2 linked regions of the Mytilus edulis genome follow. The protein of the gene in region 1 interacts with the protein of each later gene in a biochemical or structural test. Links are inferred from orthologs where the notes say so. Each region holds a gene or a part of one and is shown in the gene's direction. Other genes may lie near its edges.

Region 1 (7,269 bases):
GAATTGAGATTTCGAGACATGCAAGCTTTTAATTATGTCACAAATCAAGATGGTAAACCACCATTATCAGTTATCTTAACAAATTTCATTGAAGTATACACAATAGCAGTTTTATTTGGTATATACACTGATGATCATTTACAATGATATTGGAAGAACTAACAGACACACACAGACCAGAAAACATGATGCCTTCTTACTGTCATGGACTTAGGTATAAGAAATCATGCGCTATCAAATGGCATCAATATCAAACACTTTCATCACCATTAGATCTTTACCACAATTTCTTGCTCATATTTCTTTGCTTTATACACATTTATCAAATTATATATGAAATAACATTTTTCGAAAGATAGTAGAGCCCACAATTAGAATTCAAAATGGAAACAGGAAATGTGTAAACCAGACAACAACCCAACCAAAGAGCATAAAACTGCCGAAGGCCACCAATGGGTCTTCAACACAGCATAAAAATCTCACACATGGAGCTGGGCTTCAGCTGATCCTCAAACAATCATGTAAAATGTACAAATGTATACTAATTCAGGGAAATAATTGCTACACACTTTGTAATTAAGTTTGTATATTTGTAAAAAAAGTGTTTAATAACTTACTATCATCATTTTGTGGTGCCATTAAAATCATACTATGTTTTTTCTTCACATCTTCCACATTAGCTGATATTTTATCTATCATCCCCCGGATCTCCTCCACCTACAAATTTTAATATAAAATTTAATAAAAACAAAACAAAAAAAACAAAAAACTTGAGCTAAAATATTAAACAAAATAGACATACTGTGAATTATCCCTTCAATTCTTTGGTGTTACCAATCCAGTAAAATATCAACAGTAACTTGTAGGAACAAAATTTCAAAGGACATTTAATTCTCTGTCTCAAATGTTGTTTAACTTTTAAATTTGGTCCCATAAATTTTCTTATTTTACAGGACTAAAAACATTTATTCTAGTTTTGACAGAACCAGTATCCTATGAAAACTCAATATATTTTAAAATTGAGAAATTACAACAGCAATATGTTATCTGCAGGCTTAAAGAAGTCTCTTTTTTTTTATATATACCATATTGATATTACCATTAACAAAAAACTGCTGGAAGAAGTTAATTTAAGCAAATACATTCATAAATTGGTATTTTCATTAGGGGCAGTAACCCATATAAAGCATCAATAAATGATTTCAATATAAAAGTGTTTTGAAATTTTTAAGATGTTGTATATACATTTTTGTATATGTACGTCTGAACCAGTGACAACTCTACAACAGATTTATCCATCGGATCACCAGCAGTGATGGTGATACATGGCTGTGTACATTATGTATATACAACTCGTCTAAACATCAAGCCAACAATGTTAGATGTGTATATTGATCATACTTTTTTGCAGCTTTCAGTTTCTGATACAGTTAACGCCATTGTGAATCATGCCATTTCAAAGTGTTTAAGGAGCAGGTTCAGCACTTGGTAATTTTACATTATGTTTATAAAAATGTTGAAATTTTTGAGGTTTGTTTTTCTAAATACACCAACAGTCTGTGCAAAACTGTTTTAGGGTTTGTCTGACCAAAAGAGAAATTCAATTTTTCTTCTATATACATGTATATTCAACCAAAAAATCTTAAAAGTTCTGTGTGACCGAATGATTTTTTGTCTGACATTTTGTCGGTCAGATGGAGTTTGGGATACACTGCACCAGTGTGGCCACCTCAACATGCTTACTGTTTATGTTGCAATAAAATCATACTAGTCTGAGCAATAAATGCCAAAAAGAAATATTTTTACATAAATAAATGAAAGTTTATACCTGTTCAAAGAACATGTCCATGAAACCTCCAGTGTCAACATTGACAGCCACATCGTCTGCGTCATCATCATCACTCTGTGCCTAAAATAAGACAAACAACTACATTAACATTTTCATATAATTTGGTATGGTTTGAGTGTACATTTGTATTTATATTATATATAGTGATCAGCATCAGTCTGCACTTAAATCTTTCCATTTACCGACGACTTCTAGTTCGAAAACCAATATCCAACATTTTTCTTGTGTGTCATAAAAGCTTACTAGTCTGAATAAAACTTTACTAGTCTGGGGCATTAGACTTGTGGCTCAGGACCCAGACTGCGTAAACAAATTAATTTCTAATGTGAATCAAAGAAACAATTCATGTGGCTAATCTGCATGTACAATATATTTTCGTATCAATTTGGTACATCAACATTTATCCATTAATCAGCATTCTCCCCAGGCATGAATATATATATATGTGTTGAGGGTTTCCTTTAGTAACTATGTTTACTGACCCTAATATTGAGTGCCAACACAAAATTAAAATCAGTAAAGGAAACCCTTAACACATATATTTGTATTTTTTTAACAAACATATGAAATAAAATGTATTTCTACTCAGGCAATTAAAGCTTGACATATATTTGTACATGCATGTACATGTACTACATTGTATTGTATTGTACAGAAAACTGTCTATTGTTGTAGATCCTAAAATGCCATCAATAAGTTTTTATATATTTGTGTTTACAGTCTTCACGATGAACTGTAAAATCTACAGGCCCCTAGCTTATTTTTTGAAAATTTTTAGTTAGATTCTGTTGGCCGGTAAATATGATTTCTACAGGCCCAAGAGCAATTTTACAAGCCTGGGTTGCCACTCAGCGTGAAGACTGTATTTAGTGCTGATTTAGTTACATGTACCACACATCTCAATTTATTCAACTAACAATGTATTAACAGTACTAGTATGTGCAGGAAATATAAGTTTGTCAGTCATTTATCATGTTTGTCAGTAGAATAATTTTAATTTAATATTTGTATGTATGGATACATTTGTATTTAAAGTAATCTGTGCCAAATTAGTATTTGTATTTACCTACAATATTAAACACTTCTTACATTACCACCAAGAAGGCAAAAACTCCTAGATGGAATCAAGACAACTTGCCCCACTGCCAACATGGCCAAATCGCCCCATTTTTGTTTACTACTTCACCCCACTTTCTAAAACTATCAGCCCTTATGTTTACCAGCATGCCTCACTAAACTAATATATGGATTAAATCCTTTTAAATTTACTCCTTCCAACTCAACCCTTTTCAACATGATTTTATCAAAATTGGAAAATATGAGTAGACAAGTTGGTGAAAAAGTTCAGCTTCCTGTAGTAAGTTGCAAGCTCTATACAGGAAAATTCAGATACATTATGTACAATAATAATGGAGCGATATAAAAAAGAGCAGTTGAACAATGCAGTATTAAACTAATGCAGAGTTATGATCAGAATGTTTTCCACCAGTCAATACAGATAAGGGTGTCTTCTTCCAGATTATGAGTCGAAATCTGTAGTAAAGTGTAAATAATTTGACTCAGGCACTCTGGTGATTATATTAATAGGCCTACTTTTAGTCTATTAGTTTTATAGGCAGTGTGCAACATAAATTTCGTGTTCAGTTTACAGGAAGCTAAGTTTTTTTTTACATTCTGGTTAGGTTAAAAAAAAATTTAAGAATAGACCTATTAGGATTCACACCCCTAAGCAGTGGCGGATCCAGCCATTTTAAAAAGGGGGTGTTCCCAACCCAGGACAACAGAGGGGGGGGGGGGGTTCCAACTATTCCAACTATATGTCCCCATTCAAATGCATTGATCGGCCAAAAAAAGGGGGGTTCCAACCCCTGGATCCGCCACTGCTAACGCAAAAGAAGGCCATATACAATAATGCTGGAACAATAAACATGCTGGTAAATATATAATATATATTGCAGTACTTTACATGCATGTCTGTCACAGTGTCGGATTCCCCATTTTTCTTTGTCCATTATTGCCAAATTTTACAATTAATACTGGTTTAATTTACATGCATGGTCAATGTCTGTTAAGCATTTAAAGCAATAACAACTAAAGGGGGAGGGGTGTAAGAAATCAGTGTTAACTCAGACTCAGTCCCAACTTGGCCGGCTAAATTCTTACCGCTTTTAAAGCCGCAAGACGATCTTTGGTCATTTTTCAACTTAAGTGTATACTATTTTCATCAACTCATTAAGATCACTGTAGTCTTTGTATGTATTGTTACATGTTACTTCCAAATTCCGATGATACATAAGAAAATCGATACAATTTTAATATCGTCTACCATCATAACACTAGCAAGTGCGCAAGTTCATGCGGGGTTTCCTTCTTCCGGCTGTGTCGCACTTAATGAATTTTTTTTAGCGGGTAAATAATATTTGTTGTTGAATTTAAATTTTCAAAGATATTTCAAAGGACAGAAATCTTCCATCGCATAAGCTCTATTTTTGGTAGTTTATATAATCTAAAGTGACGGCAAATACCCGCCAAAACCAGTTTAAACCCCCCTTCCGGTAAATCTCTTGCGCCATTTCTTGACTGAAGAGGGACATAGCAGGTAAAATCGTCTGTCATCCTATGAAAGAAATCATTTCAATTACACCTTTGATGAATTATTTGTATAGAAAACAGCATGTTTTAATGTTTTATCACTTCATTTTTTATTAATTCCATTTCAACTCGTTACCACAAACAATATACCTGATCGTCTTTGTCATTCTTGAACTTGTAAACGTAAAGTTGACTGGAAAGAGATATACAATTCCTGTTAGTATTGAAACTTAATATTCATCATACAAAACTAATTGCGTATGACAACCTGAAGTTAATAGGCGATCAGACTTCCGCAGTCACTTCTAGAATAAATAAATAAGGATGCGTCAAATTCATTTATTTGGCGGAATTTTATGGTGGTGTAATTTCAGAATATATGTAAATACATAGAATAAACTTACAATTACACACTGGATTTATTCCATAGAGTTGTAAGCAAACCGTTAATGACCAGCTTTCAATATTTTTTTTGTTATTGTTTTAGAGACACTTGTATAATTTTATATTAAGAAATGTCACCTCAAACAGGCCCCCTCAAACATTGTTAAGCGCAAACAAACAAGAAACTTAGATGTAATATGTACTATGTATTGATAGAGCTTGTATTGTCATTGTTGATTAATGCTGGGAACCTACAGATCGTAATGATTAAATTGTAATGCCACACAGTTCATCAGCACTTAAATATGTTGAATGTCAAGGTCCTCTAGATTCGAGATGACAGAATCTCCTTTCAGTTTAGTGTTTACAGCTTGATTGATCTAGACAGTGATATACAGATTTAGAGTCTTAGAATAGAAAATAGTTTTCTATAATGATGTATTTTTTTAATATAAACAACTCAGACTCATATCCGATTAAATCATATCTATTTTAAAATTATATCTTGGAAAGAACTGGTTCTAACTGACTTTCAAAGAAATATTGCACAACGCACATACATACATACATGTACAGTATACATATACATGCAACAATATAGATAGTAAAATAACTTGCTGGTCATCTTAGGTGTTCATAAAAGTTGTGGTGAAAACTGACTTTGTTAAAGTAAGTGAATTCTTAAAACTGTTATATTGATAGTCATCCAAGTTTATCAAACTAATGTGCTACTACCATCTCTGGATTAAATATTGTTATGCAGGCCTGTGTTAATCTAAGTAAACTGCATTATTCATGACTTGGTGTAAATTTTAGGTCTAAGATTTTTTTATTAAAAGCAGGCCAGAGTATTTAAAAGCACATGAGGCAGATTTTACAGTATTGTGTTCTGTCTCCTACTTTCATGTTGCTAATGTGACGGAGACAAAAATGAGTAACGTTAGCGACATTTGGACATGTCACATGAGCAACAACATCTTTAAAAGTTAAATTCTAATGCAACAACGTTTGTAACGTTCATTTTCATTGGATAACGTCACTTTCTTACATGGCATCAATTGACAATTGATGCTATGGGACGTACGCGCAAGCGCAGACGACATATGACAGATTTTAAATACATGTTTTAACGTTGTTTTCTGTCAGTTTCATTAGAATGGAGATAACAATATTGTATTTTAAGCTCCGACGGCATCAATTTGGGATTTGATGGTCGCAAATACCCGTTTACTGTCTCCGCTAACGCGTCGCCAGTAAACTTAATTTGCGACCATCAAATCCCCAATTGATGCCGTCGGAGCTTAAAATACAATACAGTTATCTCCTAAATGTATGCACACAGTGATGTTTAATATATGCCTGGAGTAATAAAATTGTACAGTCTGGTTTAGAATTTCTAAATATACAGAATGTCATTTGCAGGTGTACTTTATATCAAATGAATACACAAGAAACCAAAAAATTAGTAACGTTAGCAACATTTGGACATGTCACATGAGCAACAACATCTTTAAAAGTTAAAATGTATGCACACAGTGATGTTTAAAATATGCCTGGAGTAATAAAATTGTACAGTCTGGTTTAGAATTTCTAAATATACAGAATGTCATTTGCAGGTGTACTTTATATCAAATGAATACACAAGAAACCAATTCGTAATAGTAACATTAGCAACATCTACTATCAAGACATTATGTTTTGTTGCGAACGTCTTTTTGATGGACGGAATACATTTAAGGTCCTCTTGTAAAGATATTACATACAACTTACCTTCTTTGCTTCCCCATCATGTGAAGGAACTGACTCCGAATCTATTTCTGCAAAGGGCGATATCGTAACTCCTATACAGGAGAGTTACAGATATAAATATATGTTGCTCACGTGACACTGATTTGGACGGAAACCTCGAACAGTAACGTTCGCAAAAAATAAAACAGCCAATGATATTGATTCCTCAAGTCCTTTGACCCCCTTACGTCATCCAAATTTAATATGATTGCTATTTTCAATTATTTATAAAACCCGGGATAAAAATAACTACAATGGGCTGTCTGAGAACTAACAAGAAAATTGCGATCGTGACATACCACAATGGACGGAAAAGACGTGACGTTAGCAACAATATTATTAAATTACCTTTTTTAGCCTTTACCAATAAAAATCTGCCTTAAAGTTATGATTAAAACACAAAAGAAGACTTTTTATTAAAATATAAGTCCATGTTATTAGGCTCCACTTATAAATAATACTTCAAAATTCCACTCCAAATAAGCTGGATGTCAGTAAAGTAGGTCATGATGTCTATTCCATGTCCAATATTTTGAAATTGAAAACCCTCTAATTCTAACATAAAACACAAACACAGAGTAATTTTTATTTTTATTTACTCAGAAAGACACATTTTATTCAATAACATAATGCATTACTCCATTTCACAGTCTGTT
Region 2 (7,356 bases), on another chromosome or scaffold:
AAATGACAGGAAATTCAACAGCACCGTAATAACTATTATATTGAAGTTATACACATCAGTATACTAACGGCTGGTTTGTTGTTATATTATATTAATATTTGTATATAACAGTTACAAGTATAAATAAAATTTCCCTCAATTTGTATATTATTTTATTCTACTATTCTAATAATAGTAAAGGGCAAGTGCATAGTGGACACTCTTCTCACGGTAATATTTCGATTTTTCTAATAGATTGGATTTGAGCAGACATTCATATTTTCCCGCAAATCGTTCTTGAGATGTTCTTCCGCATGTGTTAAGGTTTATGTACCCTTCTGTAGCCATTTTTGTACGAATTTTTCAAACCTCAATTGTATCAAAACTAAAGATATAATAAATAATAGAGATAGTCCATTTAGTACATGTTCCAAGGGGAAACTTGATGCAAAGCATTATTTTTAACTGTTTCATTGCATCTGATAGAAAAAGAGGACTTTGTGGCAAATAAATCATGATTTTTATAGAAAATCCACAGCCTTTGAAATTAATTAAATGCAATGGAACACTAAAAAATAATGCTTTGCATCATGTTTCCCCTTGGAATAAGTACAAAATGGCCTATCTCTATTATTCATAATATCTGTAGTTTTGATGCAATTGAAGTTTGAAAAGTTCGTACAGAAATGGCTACAGAAGGGTACATAAACCTTAACACAATGATTTGTTATTGATACATATATATAATATATATATTTATCATATACTTAGACTAAATAACATATGATTTTTACTGTATGATAATAGCATGAAATTAACGTAAATTTCATATTTTTCGAATTGGTGCTGAGCGGGCTGATATGAAAAGTTTATCACATGCTTCGAACGTTATCACATGCCTTTCCGTAACGTTATCGCATGGCATTCCGGTAATACTCGGCAAATTCCGGAAAATACACCTCAATGCTACGTTTTCAGTGAAAAACATCACAAAGTAGTGTACAAAACAATTATTTGGATAGTGGAAAGTATATTGTGTAAAAAAACCAAAATAAATGCATTTTTAAAACTTTCAAACATAATTTAGAAAGCAACTTTTATACAATTTGACTTTTCCAAACAGTGTTCATTATGTAGATTGTTAAATTGATTTTTTTTGTCGATTCGTCCATATTAAAATGTTTTTCTTCTCTTTTGATGCATATGATAGAAATAAAATCGAATGTACTAAATTTGGGGTCCGACGTTCGTGAACGTTCACTCTTTGAACTTCTATTTGGGAACCACATGCAAGGATCTGTATTCAATATATGAATCTGTTATTTTTCTCTATTGTTGAAGCATATGATAAAAAGATCATAATAAATAACATGTCATTTTTCATATCGCATGTATTATCAGCCCTCGGTCAATATCAGCCCTCGAGCCATTCGGCTCTGGGGCTGATATTGAACCTAGGGCTGATAATACATGCGATATGAAAAATGCTATGTAATAATCTGATAATATTTCTAATCATATCATTTATCTATGTTTTTAAAAATTATATTCATGAATATTTATTGATGAAATTGATATTATATAAGAAACAATAAGGAATGTTATTTTGCAATCGGGTATCGGTCAAAAACGAAAGTCACGATGGGCACGTGAGAAATGTCTGTGCCGGCAGCATTACATTGAAATGCCCTCACGGTCATCTGATGTAAAAACGAGAAGCGTGTAACACTTATGAACCAACCACATCAACTAACGGCAATCACTGAACATCAGGTTTCTGACTTAGGACAGATGCAAACACATGCAGCGGGTTTACACGTTTTAATTAGTACATTCCTTCACCCTTACCTGAAACAATAGTGTAACATTACATCATAGAAAGACACCCAATAACATATCAATTGAAAGTATTCTTACCATGGTTATCCCTGAGTTTTAAAATGAAAATGTTTGGCCTGTCTGAAATACTGTCGCCCCTTTTAAGCAACAATTCACGTAAATCATTGGCTCCATTAACAACTACCACCCAAGATGACCCAATTGAAAGGCTGAAAATATCACCATATTCTTTTCGAAGTCTACGAAAAGCTTTCACAATATTTCCACCTGAAAGTTGATGTACGTTTCCAATTAGTGGTAGTGGTATTGGTCCAGGGGGGAAATCGGCTGGCCTCCGCGATCTCATCCAAAGCCAGCATATTAGCCCGACAGTTATTCCAATTAAAACTTCAGTAATCGAAACATTTAACAAATACGCCATCACTTTTCTAATCTTTATGTTACCTTCAAAATGTTGACATACATAATCTAACCTTAAAATCGGAAAATTTATCTTTTCTATAATATACTCGATAGCATGGCTAGCTTAGTTATTATATATCATCGACATGTATAATGCAATTCAAGGTTTATGTCGTGCTTGAATCATGATAATTTTTCCTCTAATAGATAGTTAATTTGTTTGATGCATTCCTATGCATAATATGATTTACTAGAAATTAAGGTGGTATGGGAGTCTAAAATAAAAATGATAGAATTTGTTCATACTTTGCCAAAACGTTGTATCTATTGATACATGTTGAAAAATATAATAAAAATGATAGGTCACCGCGCATTTTCTCAAGCTACAGGACGGGACAAAATGACACATTTTGTATGGATTATACAGGAAAAAACACCATTTTGTGATTAGAAACTAAACAAAATGATAGAATTGTTAAATACTTCAGGAAAAGATAGCTTTCAGACACTGCTTTGAGAATATCAAAAGAAAAGATAGGGTCACCGTACGTTTTTTCCGGCTAAAATACAAAATAGGAAAATTCCATACAGAATCCTTCAGAAAATGCACTTTTTAAGAGTTACCTCCCCTTAAAATGCCAATTTAAAAATAAATAAATAAAAACAACCAAAAATAATTAACATTTGCAAAAATATCAATATTTAGAAGTTATATTCTTATAAATTGGTACTTTTAAATGAAAATGTACATTAAACATCTGCATTCCTGCATCAAATTTTGCTAACTTGATGGAAAATCTGGACCTTTGATTCTCTGTTTTTTACAATCCAAGATGGAGGAAGACACCCATACCACCTTAAGGTCACCCACAAAATTCTTAAGAAACACAATGTTACATCTACGTAAAGGGTCATTACCTTTATCGGTTCACTTGAGAGAAAAAACTGAGACGAAGATATTTAGACATTTGTCTATTGAAAAAAAATATATGTAAGGCGGAAATTTATTAAAAAATAGTCTGTGTCTACAAGGAGCTTCTAAAATATTTCAAAACCGCCATAATTCGAATTCAGGGTATCTATAAATCATTGCATGAGGACCTCCTGAAATAGTTCAGGACCTACATAATTTGATTTACGGATATTCTGAAGTATTTCAGGAACCAAACAATCTCGTTTTCAGCATATCCTTGAATATTACATGGCCTCCAAAATTAAATGGTCAAAAATGCATTGCTTCAAGAGGTCCTTCCTTTAATATTTAAGGATTTTTTAGGATGTCCTGTTATATCATATGATTATAGATCTCAACTTAAATACTATCATCCAAAAAACCTATGGTCCTCCTGAAATTAAGCAATGTTGATCAATTATTTATAGAGGTCGTACAATATTTCAGGATATCCTTAATTCGAATAATGCAGTCCTGGAATATTTTTAGAATATCCTTTACAGAAATTACGGAGGTCCTTGCAGTGGCGGATCCAGAGGGGGGGTTCCGGGGGTCCGCACCCCCCCTTTATTTTGGCCGATCAATGCATTTGAATCGGGACATATGTTTGCACCCCCCCTGCACCCCCCCCTTTGCCCTGGGCTAGCACCCCCCCTTTCGAAAATTCCTGCATCCGCCACTGCCTTGTTATTTCAGAAGGTGTTCAGTCCTAAATATTTCAGACTGAGTTGTTCAAGTTTTATGAAACCCGACTGAATTCGAATTATGCAGATTCTGGAATATAAATTTCGTAATAAAGGAGGTCCTGGAATGTTATAGGAGCTAATTGAAAACAATCATTGTAATTTTCAGTAAATTTGCGCCTCTTAGAATTTTACCTAACAGTAAGGGATAACTGAGAACTGTAATTCGGCTGGTGACCTGCAGCAATTTTGTTTGAGCTTGAAATCTGTCAGTTCATTCGATAATGGTTATTTAATCTATAATCAGCGTACTAACTTATGTAACTGTCTAGAACTTCATTGTCAGATGATCAGGAAGGAAAGGAATGCGTCACTAAGTTAGTGGTTTTTTTTGGCAAATTTAAAACCCGTATTTTAAGCGTATCGATTCCGTTACTGTTTCCGGTGTTATTTCAACACATGTTTCTGATTTCTCTCCCCTGCTATTTTCACTTTCTAAACTTAGGTCTTAGCTCTTTCGTAATATTTCACAATAATTCACACAGAAAAGTATTTGGTAGGTACTTTAAAGTGAAAAAAACCCCTTTATTTTGGTTTGTCACATTGACAAACAGTTGGATGAGCCTTTCAGCGAAAAGGTATTGATAAAAAAACAAATCATTATAGTCTATTTTTAAGTATTACGCTTTTTTTAATCTTTAAAATTTCTGATTTACTATGCTGTATCTAGTTAAATCTTGTTCAATCTAGCAAAAACCTGAAATTACAGTTGTGCAATCGAAGCTAATTTAAAAGACATACTTAGCTAATAACATCACAAAACTCAAAAGCAACAGATATATAAGTGGTAAGATACAATATTCAAAGAGTTCAATATAATTATTTAAATTTCTGACCATTTAAAATGATTTTACAGACATGATTCATGAATGTTTTCACTACAATATAAATTTCATATTGCGTCAAAGATTAGAGGTAACAAAGCTACTTTTGCCAAATGCATGGTTATGATCAGAGACTAGTAAGACCACAATTAGAATATGCAGCATCTGTCTGGGATCCTGCAACAAAAGAACCAATCTACAAAATAGAACAGATACAAAGAAGAGCTGCAAGATACGTGACAAATAAGTACAAACCAACTGCAAGTGTCACAGAAATTATAGACCACCTAAAATGGAAACCACTGCAACAACTAAGAAAGGAAACCAAACTAGTGATGTTCTATAAAAAAGAGAATAATATGGTAGCAATAGAGAAAGAAGGACGACTCACACCACCAGTAAGAAAAGGGAGAAATATACATCCTAAGGCATACCAAGTACCGCACTCACGTATTGATGCACACAAGACATCATACTTACCACAGACTATAAGGGACTGGAACGCCTTACCACCAGACATCCCACAGGCAGAGACACTAGGTGCCTTCAAGGCCCTAGTGTCAAACCTCTAGAGCCTTGGAGGCTCCTACTGTTTTTAGCCAGTGTTTAAAGTTTAATTCAAATTCACTGTATATAGTCAGTTCCACGGTTTTACTTCAACAATTTACTTACTTGGATGTCGTCTCCTGCAAACGGAACTCGTCCGAAACATATATAGCAGAATCGTCAGTTTGTTGAAGGAGGCTATTATCCGACAGAAACAGAAATATTACAATCTTGTTCTGTGTGCAGTTTGTAGCTGCAGAGCTGTAGCTCATACATGTACATGTAGGTCCTTATGTTATGTTTTTACTATTTAATTTGCGGACCATAATTTGCAATCTTTACCGTTCAATGCTTTCAAGCACTTTGATTTTTTTTTACTTCTTTAGATGCCAGAAAAAGAGTTATTTGGTGGTGCCTTTTCAGCATTTCTACCTGATGGAGCTAAAGATGTCAGGTAATAAGAATAAGACTATATGAACTTAGCTGAAAATTATATAAAAATTAAATTGTTAAAAGTGGCTTTATATGGAAGTTAAATTTTCGTGGGGGTTTTAATTTCGTGGATATATTCTTTCCACGAAATAAACGAAATTAAATCCTCCACGAAAAATTTCTGCTTTTACAGTATATGAATAAGAAATCTGTTCTTCTACTTAAAATATCAAAGAAGGTTTTAGCACATCACATTAGTCTCATAGACAGAAAACATCACTTACAATTTGATTATGGCATCAGAGAAAGGACCTATTGTTAAGGAAAAGAACCTCAACTAGCATTTGTTATGCATGTATATTGTATATATATCTAGATTGTTATAATTATCTCCCTTTGGAGAGTTGTGATTTGATTTCTCCTTTTATCATTTTAAATGAATGTTCAAACTAGTTTTATAATCCTCCTTTTAAATAACATTGTTTTTTGTCAAGTCTTCAACTTTAGTCGAGAAAGCGAGACATAGCAATCCTACATTCCGTTGGCAGTGGCGGCTTTCACAAATATTCACTCTGTGGTTAAAGTTTTTGAAATTTTAATAACTTTCTTAAACTATACTGGATTTTTACCAAACGTTGACAGAAGCTTTTTTATGATCATAAGATAGTATTCAGAAGTAAATTTTGTAAAAGTAAAATTCCATTTTTTCTGTATTTTACTTATAAATGGACTTAGATTTTCTGCCAGGAAACAACACATTCGCTCTGTGGTTAAAGTTTTTCAAATTTTAATGACTTTCTTAAACTATCCTGGGTTTGTACCAAACTTGGACAGAAGCTTGTTTATGATCAAAAACTAATATCCAGAAGGAAATTTTGTTTAAATTTTGTACCTGTGTATCTGTATTTTACTTATAAATGAATTAAGTTTTTCTTCCAGTTAACATTACATACAGTCTATAGTTACATACAGTCTGTAGTTAAGTTTTTAAAACATTTATTAGATTTATAAACTATCCTGGATTTTTACCAAACTTGGACAGAAGCTTCTTACAATCAAAAGATAGTATCAAGAGGAATATTTTTATTGATTTTTTCCTCTTTTTTGTTGAGCCTGCCACAAATGCAAAAGTAGGCGAGACACTGGGTTCCACAGAACCCTTACGAAATTTTATGCATATTAGACAACATTTATGTTCAATAATTTATTTTATTTCACCCTGATCCCCAAGTTTTTACAAAGTAGTGTAATTATCCCCCTTTGAAAATTTGTTTCTGCAACTTTAGTCAGATTCTACACACAATCGGGAATTATTTACACACAAATTCCACACATTCAGGAATTATTTCTCACATGCAGAAACAGACCAGAGTGTAATTATTTCCCTTCATTTATTTTTCAGTGACTTCAGACAGATTCCAGACAATCAAGAAGTATTCACGCATGCTGAAACAAACCAGAGTTTAATTATTTCCCTTTGAATATATTTGTTGGTTTTTTTTCAGTGACTTCAGACAAATTCCAGACAATCAAGAAGTATTCACACATGCTGAAACAAGCCAGAGTTTAATTATTTTCCTTTGTATATATTTGTTAGTTTTTTTCAGTATCTTCAGACAGATTCCAGACAATCAAGAAG

What was found.
Region 2: the proteins of GTP-binding nuclear protein Ran (region 1) and ran guanine nucleotide release factor-like form a complex in vitro, tested with the Homo sapiens proteins (2 studies listed by BioGRID). The link is inferred for Mytilus edulis from reciprocal best matches to the Homo sapiens genes RAN and RANGRF.

What each region holds. Positions count from the first base shown.
Region 1 is NC_092349.1:64,093,711-64,100,979, reverse strand, and holds the start of GTP-binding nuclear protein Ran, read left to right. Parts: upstream 1-4,179; 5' UTR 4,180-4,258; intron 4,259-4,350; exon of another isoform or gene 4,351-4,657; intron 4,658-5,161; exon of another isoform or gene 5,162-5,494; intron 5,495-7,269. Other genes in the region: syntaxin-like, read right to left, coding at 618-717, 1,829-1,909, 4,013-4,045. UniProt on the Homo sapiens protein: GTPase involved in nucleocytoplasmic transport, participating both to the import and the export from the nucleus of proteins and RNAs. Switches between a cytoplasmic GDP- and a nuclear GTP-bound state by nucleotide exchange and GTP hydrolysis.
Region 2 is NC_092356.1:49,374,385-49,381,740, reverse strand, and holds the start of ran guanine nucleotide release factor-like, read left to right. Parts: upstream 1-4,301; 5' UTR 4,302-4,411; exon of another isoform or gene 4,412-4,493; intron 4,494-4,535; exon of another isoform or gene 4,536-4,702; intron 4,703-4,852; coding exon of another isoform or gene 4,853-5,311; intron 5,312-5,671; coding exon 5,672-5,739; intron 5,740-7,356. Other genes in the region: cytochrome P450 2E1-like, read right to left, coding at 1,897-2,239; uncharacterized protein, read left to right, coding at 4,853-5,311. UniProt on the Homo sapiens protein: May regulate the intracellular trafficking of RAN. Promotes guanine nucleotide release from RAN and inhibits binding of new GTP by preventing the binding of the RAN guanine nucleotide exchange factor RCC1.